Daphnia pulex: one gene and its partners. The protein of the gene in region 1 purifies or fractionates together with the protein of each later gene. This does not show direct contact. Links are inferred from orthologs where the notes say so. Each region holds a gene or a part of one and is shown in the gene's direction. Other genes may lie near its edges.

Region 1 (3,753 bases):
GGGAAAAAAAAAGCTTTTAAAAAACAAGAAAATTTTTAGTTGTTTTTGTTTCTTCAATTTGAAAGGAAAATAAGCACTTGGAGGGGAAACTAATATTATCACCTCTTTCACTTCTTATTCTTGTGTGCTAGAGAATAACACATGTACACACACACTCGCAGGTACCGGAAGGAAAATCTATCTGAAACTTCCGGGGAGGGATATCAAAAAAGTTTTGTTTCATTTCCCCCCAGCACGTTGTTTGAGCTACATCCCGTTTTAATATACATACACAACGATCGAGAAATATTTTAATTATTCGTCACGTTGTAGCCTATATAATCCGGAATTCGTCAATATATCTAAAAGGAAAGGCGGATAAATCTAGAACTGTACACATCACACACACGCACGTATACAGCCCAACAACACTGGTTTCGTGATGTTTGTGCTATCGTCCCGTTTGGGAATATATAGCATGCCCTAGCTCCTGGCTCGACCGCAATTGTATCCAACTCTTAATAAGTTAGTCCTATCTCACTAATCTTTTCATTTCAAATGGGTGGGGAAAAAACGTGGAAGAAGATGGAGATAAAATATAATCGTTCACTCACCGATGACGTTGATTGTATCTAGACGGTTGTAGATGATTTAAAAACTCACTCACAACACACTAAAAACCACGAGGTAATAGAAAAAAAGGTAATCCTCTTCAAGTTTTCCAACAAGGCCCGTTGTGAAAAGATGGTTGTTGCATCGAGCGTGGCGAGATTTGCGTTCAACTTTTTGGGAATTTGAGAAACCAAAAGATAAAAATGGCTTGAAAGTAATTTCCAAGACTTGGTTTGCCCCCACCACCACTTTCGTTCTCGTTCTTTCCTGTTGTTTTTGTCCCGCACCGGTTCACGTTGGCCGGGGTAGGTGGGACGGTCGTGACTCGACTCTCGACTGCAACTGACTCGGATCGGACGATTCGGCTCGTGCTCGACCATTCTGCTCACCAGAGGCGCCACTAGTAATCGACTTCCTTGATGTATCCATCCGCCCGTTAAATAGATCCTCGTTTACTTTATCAGATCAATTACGCAATTCAATCAAGTAACACATGAATCAATTAAAGTAGGTTTAACTTTAATGTTCAATTTACATGCATCGCTGTGTCAAATGAAAAACATTTTCACCAATTTCACCAATCAGTTTTCTTGAATTATTGTGCTAAATTTAATCTGAAATGATACTTTAGTATTTAATATGATTTTAAAATCCAAATTCATGTATGCAAAACACATCATTAAAAAAATAAGAGAAGAAAAGTAAAAGAAATTGAGTTGTATGAGGCACGGCAACATTGCGCCGCCATTAGCACCGTCAGATTTTATTTTTAAACGTGCCAGACGACAATTTTTTCAAAATATCTCAAGTCTCTAAAAAGTGAAGGAACTGAATAAATACCGAACAAATGGATAGAAAAAATTTGCTGAAAGCCGGGCGGAGAAAGTATGTGTTAAACAAGTTGTGTTAAGTTGATCAAACATGCTAAGATCCCATTTTCTTTCTTTCAGTTCATTGAATGTCAGTTCACGTTCGTTGAATGCATCATCTCGTAATTTGGCTGAATCGTCAAATTATGCCTTAGAAAATTATGGGACAGCTTTACCCGTAGCTGTAATTGAACTCATTTCCTCGGCAGAAAGTAAGTTGATAAATATGTGACCCTACTCGACCAAATTAAATTTCATGTTCGCTTTCAGGGAAAGCGGAATGCAGTGTTACACTGTCTAAAGATGGCTGGGCCTGGTTTGTGTGTGGACGGCAACTTGTCATATGGAAGTACTCCAAGGCGGCTGGTGCCAACACAGTATCAACACCTTCAAGGAAATCAATTGCTGTTTCTTCCCCAAAGTCTCATGAGTTGACCTTACCTCCAAGTGATCTAGCACACAAATCAGATCTTGTGGCGGTTTTCTGCTCAGAAGCTGACAGTGTCCCATCGTGCATTGCTGTGTCACCAGAAGGAACTGTCCGTTACTGGGATTCCATTGCTCACGAAAACTTTTTTGTTGAAATCAATGCTGATCTTCAGGTAAAATTTCAGATTAAAATTCTTATCGAACAACAAGTAATTGCAGTATTGAAATTAACAGGGTCAAGAATGTGATACTCTGAGTGAAGCTATGCCTCTGGGCTGTTTGGTAGCCACAACAACTGCCAGTGTCCTGCTGTTGACACCTCGCCTGACTGATGGCAGTCCCAACATACAGTGCCGGAATTTCAAGACACCGCAGGGACTATTAGGTTCCATTAGCCGTAGAATGTCGTCGTTGATATTTGGACCCATTTCAACACATCAGTCGATGGAGACACGGCTAGTCAAACTATTGAGCCAGAAAAAAGATAGTCACACTTTGGAAGTTCAAATCCTTTGCAGTCAAACTTTGCAGTATTGGCAGGTAAATCTACATAAAAATCTGCAAGATAACCCACTAAACTTGTTTTGTGTCTAGGTTGGTGAAACAGAGCGGCTATTATATCAGTGTGATATTGACAAATGGGCTAGGGAGTCTCTTATTGCGCACGTCTGGAGCCGAAGTGACCGCAACAGCATCCACAAATTGAGAGTCTGGATTCTTGATGCCCAAGTTTACAAAAACGACTTAATCTTGCTGATCGCCGCCTCCAATCCCAACCTGAGTTCCCAAATCCAATACGCCTTGGCCGCTCTGCCAATGCAAAGTAGCTCGCCACCTACTGGTTTTTCCTCCTTTTGTGTCCTCAAGTATGCCACAGCCATGGCTGAGCGATCAGATTCATCTTTACAGGAATCGTCCCCTCCCCAGTGTCGCTTTGTTCTCGTGGGATCGACGGCCTACTTGTACTCTGATAAATGGATCCTGTGTGTACCGTCCAACGAGCCACTAGAAGAACCCGACAAGCTTGAAGTCAAGGCTGCCAATGAACGTTTCCTAGGTGCAGGAGTCTTTAATCAGCGACCCGTTTTCTTCTCTACCCGTCACGGTGTTTTGATTTTACAACCTTCAATCGGTGGACCGAATGACAGCCAATCTTTTATTGATGAATCCATTATGGAACATTCCCAGATTATGGCCGAAAACCTTGATCCCGCCCAGGTATGTTGAAAAGTTTATCAGTGTTTTTCAAGGTGAATTACAGCATTTCATTTTACTTGCAGAATGAATCTACCTCATCAAAATTGAGATTGGCTTTCATCAATTTCTGTCGCAAAAATATTTATGAAACACAGTCGCTTCTAGAAGAATTATTTGCCTCTCCAACCAGTAAAGGCCAAATAGATTCGCTCATGGATAGAATGGTGGTTGATTTCAGTCAACAAATCATCGACGACTATCCAGCCACAGATCCTCGTTGGACAGATTCAGTTCCAGCTGGCCACGAGTCAACGTTCACCACCGTCTCCTTATTAGTCCTGCATCAGTTGGAAGATAAAGTCAAGGCTCACGACCTGTTCCTTACTTTCCTTCGGTACGTCACACTATATACTAGTCTTTATTCATTAACATTCTGTTCACGTTTTCAAAAATTATTCAGGAACATGTCAATTTGGGGCGACTTGACAGCCATTGGTGACCGTCGCGGTGCTAAATCTAGTGCATTTGTTTTGATGGAACATGCCGAGAAATTGCGTGCATCCTTGGCCCTACGAGCCCTTCATACGCCTGGTTCAACACTTATTGATGCTTCCATCCGACGGGTCCTTCAAGAAAGAGCAGTCGAACTGACAAATGACAAATTGAC
Region 2 (3,661 bases), on another chromosome or scaffold:
TACGTTGAACGCCTCCGCGAACAAGGTTCAATATTTTTATTGGAACGTTGATCAATCTTGATTGATTAATTGCCCGATCAACGAAATAAATTTCATAAAAGCGCATATCAGCCATGTTGAAAACTTTCGAATAAACCGAACAGCTGTGATAAATATTGGCATTTCGTTGGATTGGTTTCCAAGTTCCAGTGCAGCACAATGATTTAAAAACCGATTGAAGAGGCTGGATCAATAAATATGTACCATCTAATGCGTATTGTTTAACCATAAAATCCATTTTCTAAAAAAAGTCATTAATGAAAAACTTTTCCTGTTTAGTCCGTAAAAGTTATAGATGCTACTTGATCTTTCAGTATGTTTATCCTGGCGGAGTTTAGTAGATATTCGTTTTGACTATCGTCGTAGTATATTGAATTGCTAAAGCCTCCAGATAATTGTCGATAAAGAGAGCAAGCTGACTGAGAATCGTAGTTGTAATCCGTTAAGACACAGAGATTGATCAGATGTTCGCAGTATTTTCCTCCACCGTGTGCCTTTAAAGAAAAAAAATTGGTGTTTAATAGCACAAACATGGTAAATAATTCCTACCTTGCATTTAATTGCCGTCAATCTAACCCAATTCCGCAAATAATTAGAAATGTAAGGTCTCCCGTGTAAGTTATATGTAAAGATAGTGGGTGTTTCGGGAATCGTGAATAAATCTTTGACGCAAGTTCCGTTCACATCTTCGTATTCACTAGGACAATGACACATGTTCGAACAAGGAACGCACGAAGATTTTGTGTCATCAGGCTGATGCCAAAGCGGGCATTTCAGACATCGTGCGGAGGTAATATTTCCAGTAATTTGAAGGACTGTGATAAAAATTCAGAAATTAATTCTTCTTTACTATACTTAGCAGATAGGACCTAGGTAAATGTGCGTTTTTCATACCTTTGATGTCGTACGGTTCACACGTGAGATTGCTTTTTAGACACATTTCTGACTGAATTGATTGGTTACAGCGTAAGCATTCAATTGCTTTGGACTTTTCATTAAATTCAGGGTAGTAGCCAAAGCCACACTCACAACTCAAACGGTCATCGGAAGATATTTGAAAGACCCCGCAACCTTTGCACTTATGTGATATCGAATCAAAGTAGGAGGAACGATTGCAGCTTTCAGGAAACGAAGACAATATGACATCGTAAGCCTCCACCTTCTTTAAGATGAAAAAAAGCAGGTAATGAGCAACTAACACGATCATCGTCACTTTAAATTTTTGTTTGTTTTGTAAAGCATATTTGTTACCTAGCAACCACTCCCCAGCAATGAGCCAAGTCAGCCAACCAACAATATCAGAAAAAACATCGTTTCTTTCATGAATCAATCTGGCAACGCCCACAACTGTCCCATACTGCCATAGTGCCATACATTTGAAGTTTGATCAGTCGAGCTGTCGGCTGCTTGCGTTCTTGCTTTCTTAATTCTGTGAAATTTGCAAGCAAAAACTTGTTTCTCGTGATTAAGAAGTGATTTAAAAAGTTCTGTAAACATGTTTCAAGCAAGAACGATAAATGCTGAACACAAAGACCTGATTCATGATGTAGCTTATGATTTTTATGGGCGTCGATTGGCTACTTGTTCCTCCGACCAGAGTGTTAAAGTAAATTGTTAGAAATCGAAAAAAATTTCTTGTGTTAACTAAATTGCGGAATTATCTTTCAAGGTTTTTGACCTGGATGAAAATGATGAATGGAGATTGACTGCTGATTGGAAGACTCATGCTGGTTCTGTTTGGAAAGTAAATTGGGCTCATCCTGAATTTGGTCAAATTTTAGCCACTTGCTCATTTGACAGAACAGCTGCAATTTGGGAAGAAATTGGTTTGTAAAATTCTTTACAATTTTAACAACTTAAATTAGTTACTAAATGCATATCCAGTTGGTGAATCAGGGAATTCAACGCAGAGTAAAAACCAAAGTCATTGGGTGAAAAGGACAAGTTTGGTAGATTCAAGAACCAATGTGACTGACATCAAATTTGCTCCAAAACACATGGGACTATTGTTAGCTATGTGTTCAGCTGATGGAGGAGTAAGTTCTAAGATATATTTATTACATTGTTAAATATATAAACCAGATGAAAATGTCAATTTTATAACATAATAGGTTAGAATATATGAAGCCCCAGACATTATGAACCTAAGTCAATGGAGTTTGCAGCAAGAAATAACACTGAAAATGCCTGTGTCTTGTCTATCATGGAATCCGTCATTTTCTCGTCTCCATCCTCCAATGTTGGCAGTTGGTAGTGATGACACGAATGTCGCCTCTGGTGGAAAAGTGTTTCTGTTTGAGTACAGTGAAAGCTCCCATCGCTGGTCTAAAGCTGAAACTATCAACACAATAGTCGACCCAGTGCATGACATAGCATTTGCACCTAACTTGGGAAGAAGTTACCACATTCTAGGAATTGCAAGCAAAGATGTTAGAATAGTTATTCTTAAACCACCTCAGTAAGTAGTTAAAATATTTTAAGGATGGAATAAGAATAAATTTATAATTTTTTTTATTAAAGGAAAGATGCTTATGCAGCAGCTTGTCCAACTTCCCAGTTGGAGATACTGCAGGCAGCCCAATTTGATGACCATCATTCTACTGTTTGGAGAATCTCTTGGAACATTACTGGAACTATTCTAGCTTCTTCAGGAGATGACGGCTGTTTAAGAATGTGGAAAGGCAAGAAATCAAGAAATATTTAATGCCATGTCTGGCCTATTAAATCAGCTGTTTTTACTGTCTATTTCCACAGCCAACTATTTGCAGAATTGGAAATGCATTGCCGTGTTGAAAGGTGATGGATCGGGTGTAAGTCCAGAAGACGGAACTGATCGTGATAAAACCGTTTCTGCAGCAACTGCTCGTTACTTTAAACTTGGCGCAATCAGCAATCCAAATCAAGTACCCTGGCACTAACATTTACTTCCCAATTTTTATGATAATAATATGTCTCTTCCAATCCACACAAATAACTGGGAGTTTTCATTTCTGGAGAAACCCATGGTCTCGAAAATGGAAAGTTGTTCTGAAGAAATAAATGAAATGATATGGAGTTTTAAACTATGTCATTTTTTCATGTCACATTCGTTTAGGGTCAAGTTGTTATAAAAACACTTTTCTCTAGTAGAGTAGCTATTTGTTTTTTTGTTAGGAGGGAAATGATTCAAATGATTTGATCATTTTCAGCTGCATTACTGCATACATTTACACATCTCTAAGGACATTTACAACAATAAACTGTAAGGTCATTTTTGTGATTTTTGACAAAAACTGAATATTACAAAACTCACCTGTTAGATTTTTGCAAACGTTTGTTTTTGTCTACCTCCAGTTTAAAAGTCAGTAGTTCCGTAAATATTATCAGTAAGTATTATTTTGACGCAAATAAGAAAAGAACTAAGGATTTGTGATCTTCGTCAAATTTTGGGTCGATTGCATGTGTCTGTAGGAAATATAGGAAAATCATCCTATTCGTGATTTTCCCTAAACTAGTGATAGCCATCACAAAAATTTACGATTTTAGTTTTAAAAAAATCATTTTTAAACATGGGAAATTGAGCTATCAGTTCCTTCCGGTAAATTTGTATAATTCTAGCAAGTGAACTTCATTCTCTTTACAG
Region 3 (3,753 bases), on another chromosome or scaffold:
GATCATCCTCTCTTCCGGAAAATGCTGGAACCGTCAGGTAAGCCACTTCGAATGAACACAGTTGAACGCATTTCATTCATTAATTGTTTCATTGCGTTTTCAGGAAAAACAGAAGAATTGATCAAATCAAGCGCCCGTACCAGTTTGTCCAACGGGGCTGCACCAACTCCTCCTCAATACCGTATCTCACCCCTTCCCTCGAATAAAATCCGCACGAAAGCTTTGCTTAACGGATCCTCGACTGGTGGTGGAAGACGTTCGATTTTTGAAGGATTGAGCGACGAAGAAGAAGGTGAGGAGAACGGAGCTGGATCGGAAGCGAAAACAGATTTCTTCGTACCTCGACGAAGTGTCAAGAAACTTCAACTGAAAGCCATTTCCCTCGACACTACCGTCGATACTGATAATAAGCCGGACGATGATGCTGAACCCATCAAATCAGCACCGTTAATCACACCTTCTGAAGAAAGACCTGTTGTCCTAGACTCTCGACCAGATCTTAGAGTCCGAGAAGAACTTGATGATAGTTTGACTGTGTTGAAGATACGTAGACCAACTGTTGCGTTCCTTAACCAATCAGCGATGCTAGAACGCAGTAGTATGCTGGATGAAACTGGCCTTGGAGAAGGGGAAGTCACTGTTGCAGAGGAAATCAGTGAAACAGTCGAAGAAGAAATCGTGCCTCCTCACCCTGCTGGCATAGTTTTACGTCGTTGCGGATATTCGACAATGCCGACCATGGAAGACTTGGCAATCAAAGGATTGGATGAAAATGGGAAGTGTATTATTACTTCGTTTTCTATTATTCGTCAGGGCTATGGTCGAATATTTTTCGAAGGCCCTTTGGATGTCGCGAACTTGAATCTGGATGAAATTGGTTAGTGACCTCACAATAATTCTTTAAAAAAACGTATTGTTAACCCTCTTTTTTTGTTGTCTAGTATTGTTTCGCCACAAGGAAGTGACTGTATACCCCGATGATTCAAAGAAACCTCCTGAAGGAGAAGGACTAAATCGCAAAGCTGAAATCACTTTGGACCGCGTCTGGCCTGTAGATAAATCCACTGGAGACTACATCACCAATCCTGAGAGATTAGCTGTTTTGCGTTACGAAGAACGACTTGCCCGAGCTGCCCATCGCCTACAAGCTAAATTCATCGAGTACCGACCTGAAACAGGATCCTGGGTGTTTCGAGTGAACCATTTCTCCAAATATGGATTGGAGGATTCTGATGAAGAAAGTGAACTTCCAGCCGCTCCACCCAAAGCCGCTGCTGCTCTTCCAACTACACAAGGCCAGGCAGCTCAAACCACCGTCATTGGTGCTGGTATGTTTATCCCCTTTCCGATTTTAGTTTTGTTTATCTAACGTTTGTCGTTGTTTCCATTTTTGTAGGTATGGGATTAGGAGGATTGTCTGCGACTATTGCTCAAGTCACCTCAATGTCGATGACATTTGAAGAAGATATGGGTGTCGAAGACGATTTGGTTATTCCTCGGTTCGCTGATGAGTTCGATGACTCGGTGCGCGTCCAGTCACCTCCGCCCGTCAGTACGCAGTTGGCCAGAACATTGGGCATGCCTTCTCAGCGAGTTCAAATTATGAAAGCATCTTTCTTCGATGCCGATAACGATTATATGCAAGACGTTTCCATGGGTAAGTTTGTGCTCATTATTTTTATTAGAAAATTTGCTCAAATTGAAATATACATCTCCTTTCAGGTATTGGAAGCTTCTTCGATCAATCTGTGCGGATGTCTCAGTCGATTGCACCAAGAAAAGACATGAGTCGCCTCTTCAAAGATTCCCCTGCGCAGAGTCCAGGAAGCCTCTTCAAGTCTAGCGCCATTCCTGGAATCCAACAACCAGAGGACCTTAATAGGTCGCATGTACCGATGGATCAATCCTTCACTGCCATAGCTAAACTGCAACAGACTACTGAAATCGAAAACTTGTCAACTTACGTCAGATTGGAACACGCCCGAAATTCAGAACAATGCCGAAAAGTGGTACCACGATTCGCCACAGCTGAGATTCCCCTCTCTCGGTCCATCATTCGGGACAAATTTGGAATTGTTATGGATGCTTCCTTGTTCCAGAATCGTCGGTCACGTGTAGGATGGGGTCCCGATTTGCAACACTTGGAGCTCTCGACCACAACTCGACTCTCACTATTATCGGTGAAAACGTCTGATCTGAAGCAGAACATCGATCTGGAAGAGGATATTTTCAGTGTTGACAGCAAAAATCCATACGTTGTCTTACTAGCGACGTATTTGAACTTTACAAAGGCAACTGTAGTTGACGGTGTGCCAACTCTGCGTCCAGTACCAGGATCGCAAGCTGTTGGTTTCCTCAAAGCAGCCACCGAGAGCTTACTCTCCAAACTGAAGAACAAGGGCAATCCGGAGGCGTTGCAGCTGCTCAACTATATGGGCAAAGTTTGGAATCTTTGCATCGCTCTTTGGGGTCCTTTGGACGTCGAGGCTGGTTCGCACGCGGAAACTATGGCTAGGAAGGAAACTTTGACGCAGTGGCTGGAAGAAGCTACCATGGAGACAAATATCACCGGTCTGAATGAAGAAGAAGAGGTATCCATAACTTTTTTTTTAATGTTGTGTTTATGTAAATTGTAAATCACTTGTTTGTTTCGGTGTTAGGTCTTGACTCTACTAGCTCGCCACGACGTTGCTGGCGCTGCTCGCCTTGCTCACAAGAACGGCGAATACTATCTGGCGTTGCTGATTTCACAAGCAGGATCGTCCCTGGCTTTCAAGGGAATGCTTCAACGCCAACTGAACCTCTGGACGGAAAACCGCGCCGATGCCTTCATCACTCAAGATCGTCTTCGCGTCTTTGCCTTATTGGCTGGAATCACCGTCTGGGAAACCACTGAGGGCAAGATCAACACCTGTGAAGGAATGGATTGGATCAAGGCATTGGCCCATCATCTATGGTACGTCATTTCCCCGGTTGGGAGCATCACTGACGCCTTGCTCGAGTACGAGGCCGCTTGCGGAATATCGTCAGATCAGAACGAAGCTGAAATCTATGCCAGTGAGCCAGCTCCTTCCTATTCACAAACATCTACTTCGTTCAGGTAAGCCTTTTTATTCGTTGATTAACCATTGGAACTGTCATTTAGGTTTTGAAATTTCTCTTTTCAGAGACTTGTGTTTCCAACTGATTTCACTCTACTGCCACCGTACGACTCCGCTGGAAAAGTTGGTCAATCCTCTGAGCCACACATGGAACGTATGCGAAAATGTTTTGTCTTGGTTGCTGTGGCAGCAACTCCAAGCCTTGGGCTACTCACATCTTTCGGAAACTGCTGCTGCCCAGTTGTCAATTGCGTTCGCTTCCCAGTTGGAAAATTGTGGCCTCTGGCATTGGGCCATTTTTGTTGCGATGCATCTGAAATCGTCACCGTCTTTCGTTCAAGCGTTTGTCGAAGACATCCTCGGCCGTCATATCGGACAAGAAAAGGACGAGCAGTGCGAGCGTTTCCTGGTCGAAAAACTTTGCGTTCCGTCTCAGTGGATCGAGAAATGTCGAGCAGTTAAGGCGCTCTATGCGTTTAATCCGAAACTGCAGGCCACTTCCCTGCTTGCCGCTGGACTTTACAGCCAAGCCCATGACGTCATCTGTGATGAACTTGCTCCGGAAGCTATCCTGTCTGAATCCTATCAGGAGTTGGAGGAACTCTTGGCTCCCTTGGCTGACCCGGAACGATTCAGTACGATTGCCGATTGG

The links.
Region 2: the proteins of nuclear pore complex protein Nup133-like (region 1) and nucleoporin SEH1-like purify together in Homo sapiens (affinity purification with mass spectrometry; 4 studies listed by BioGRID and IntAct, with this or other methods). This does not show direct contact. The link is inferred for Daphnia pulex from reciprocal best matches to the Homo sapiens genes NUP133 and SEH1L.
Region 3: the proteins of nuclear pore complex protein Nup133-like (region 1) and nuclear pore complex protein Nup98-Nup96-like purify together in Homo sapiens (affinity purification with mass spectrometry; 6 studies listed by BioGRID and IntAct, with this or other methods). This does not show direct contact. The link is inferred for Daphnia pulex from reciprocal best matches to the Homo sapiens genes NUP133 and NUP98.

Annotation. Positions count from the first base shown.
Region 1 is NC_060023.1:10,064,703-10,068,455, forward strand, and holds the start of nuclear pore complex protein Nup133-like, read left to right. Parts: upstream 1-1,034; 5' UTR 1,035-1,438; coding exon 1,439-1,476; intron 1,477-1,541; coding exon 1,542-1,672; intron 1,673-1,730; coding exon 1,731-2,062; intron 2,063-2,123; coding exon 2,124-2,429; intron 2,430-2,483; coding exon 2,484-3,107; intron 3,108-3,169; coding exon 3,170-3,480; intron 3,481-3,546; coding exon 3,547-3,753. UniProt on the Homo sapiens protein: Involved in poly(A)+ RNA transport. Involved in nephrogenesis.
Region 2 is NC_060020.1:7,749,506-7,753,166, forward strand, and holds nucleoporin SEH1-like, read left to right. Parts: upstream 1-1,359; 5' UTR 1,360-1,534; coding exon 1,535-1,645; intron 1,646-1,708; coding exon 1,709-1,865; intron 1,866-1,923; coding exon 1,924-2,075; intron 2,076-2,150; coding exon 2,151-2,497; intron 2,498-2,559; coding exon 2,560-2,720; intron 2,721-2,793; coding exon 2,794-2,957; 3' UTR 2,958-3,101; downstream 3,102-3,661. Other genes in the region: meckelin-like, read right to left, coding at 1-280, 342-533, 589-854, 934-1,246. UniProt on the Homo sapiens protein: Component of the Nup107-160 subcomplex of the nuclear pore complex (NPC). The Nup107-160 subcomplex is required for the assembly of a functional NPC.
Region 3 is NC_060021.1:8,263,634-8,267,386, forward strand, and holds part of nuclear pore complex protein Nup98-Nup96-like, read left to right. Parts: coding exon 1-37; intron 38-103; coding exon 104-877; intron 878-941; coding exon 942-1,328; intron 1,329-1,396; coding exon 1,397-1,657; intron 1,658-1,722; coding exon 1,723-2,591; intron 2,592-2,660; coding exon 2,661-3,100; intron 3,101-3,167; coding exon 3,168-3,753. UniProt on the Homo sapiens protein: Plays a role in the nuclear pore complex (NPC) assembly and/or maintenance. NUP98 and NUP96 are involved in the bidirectional transport across the NPC. May anchor NUP153 and TPR to the NPC.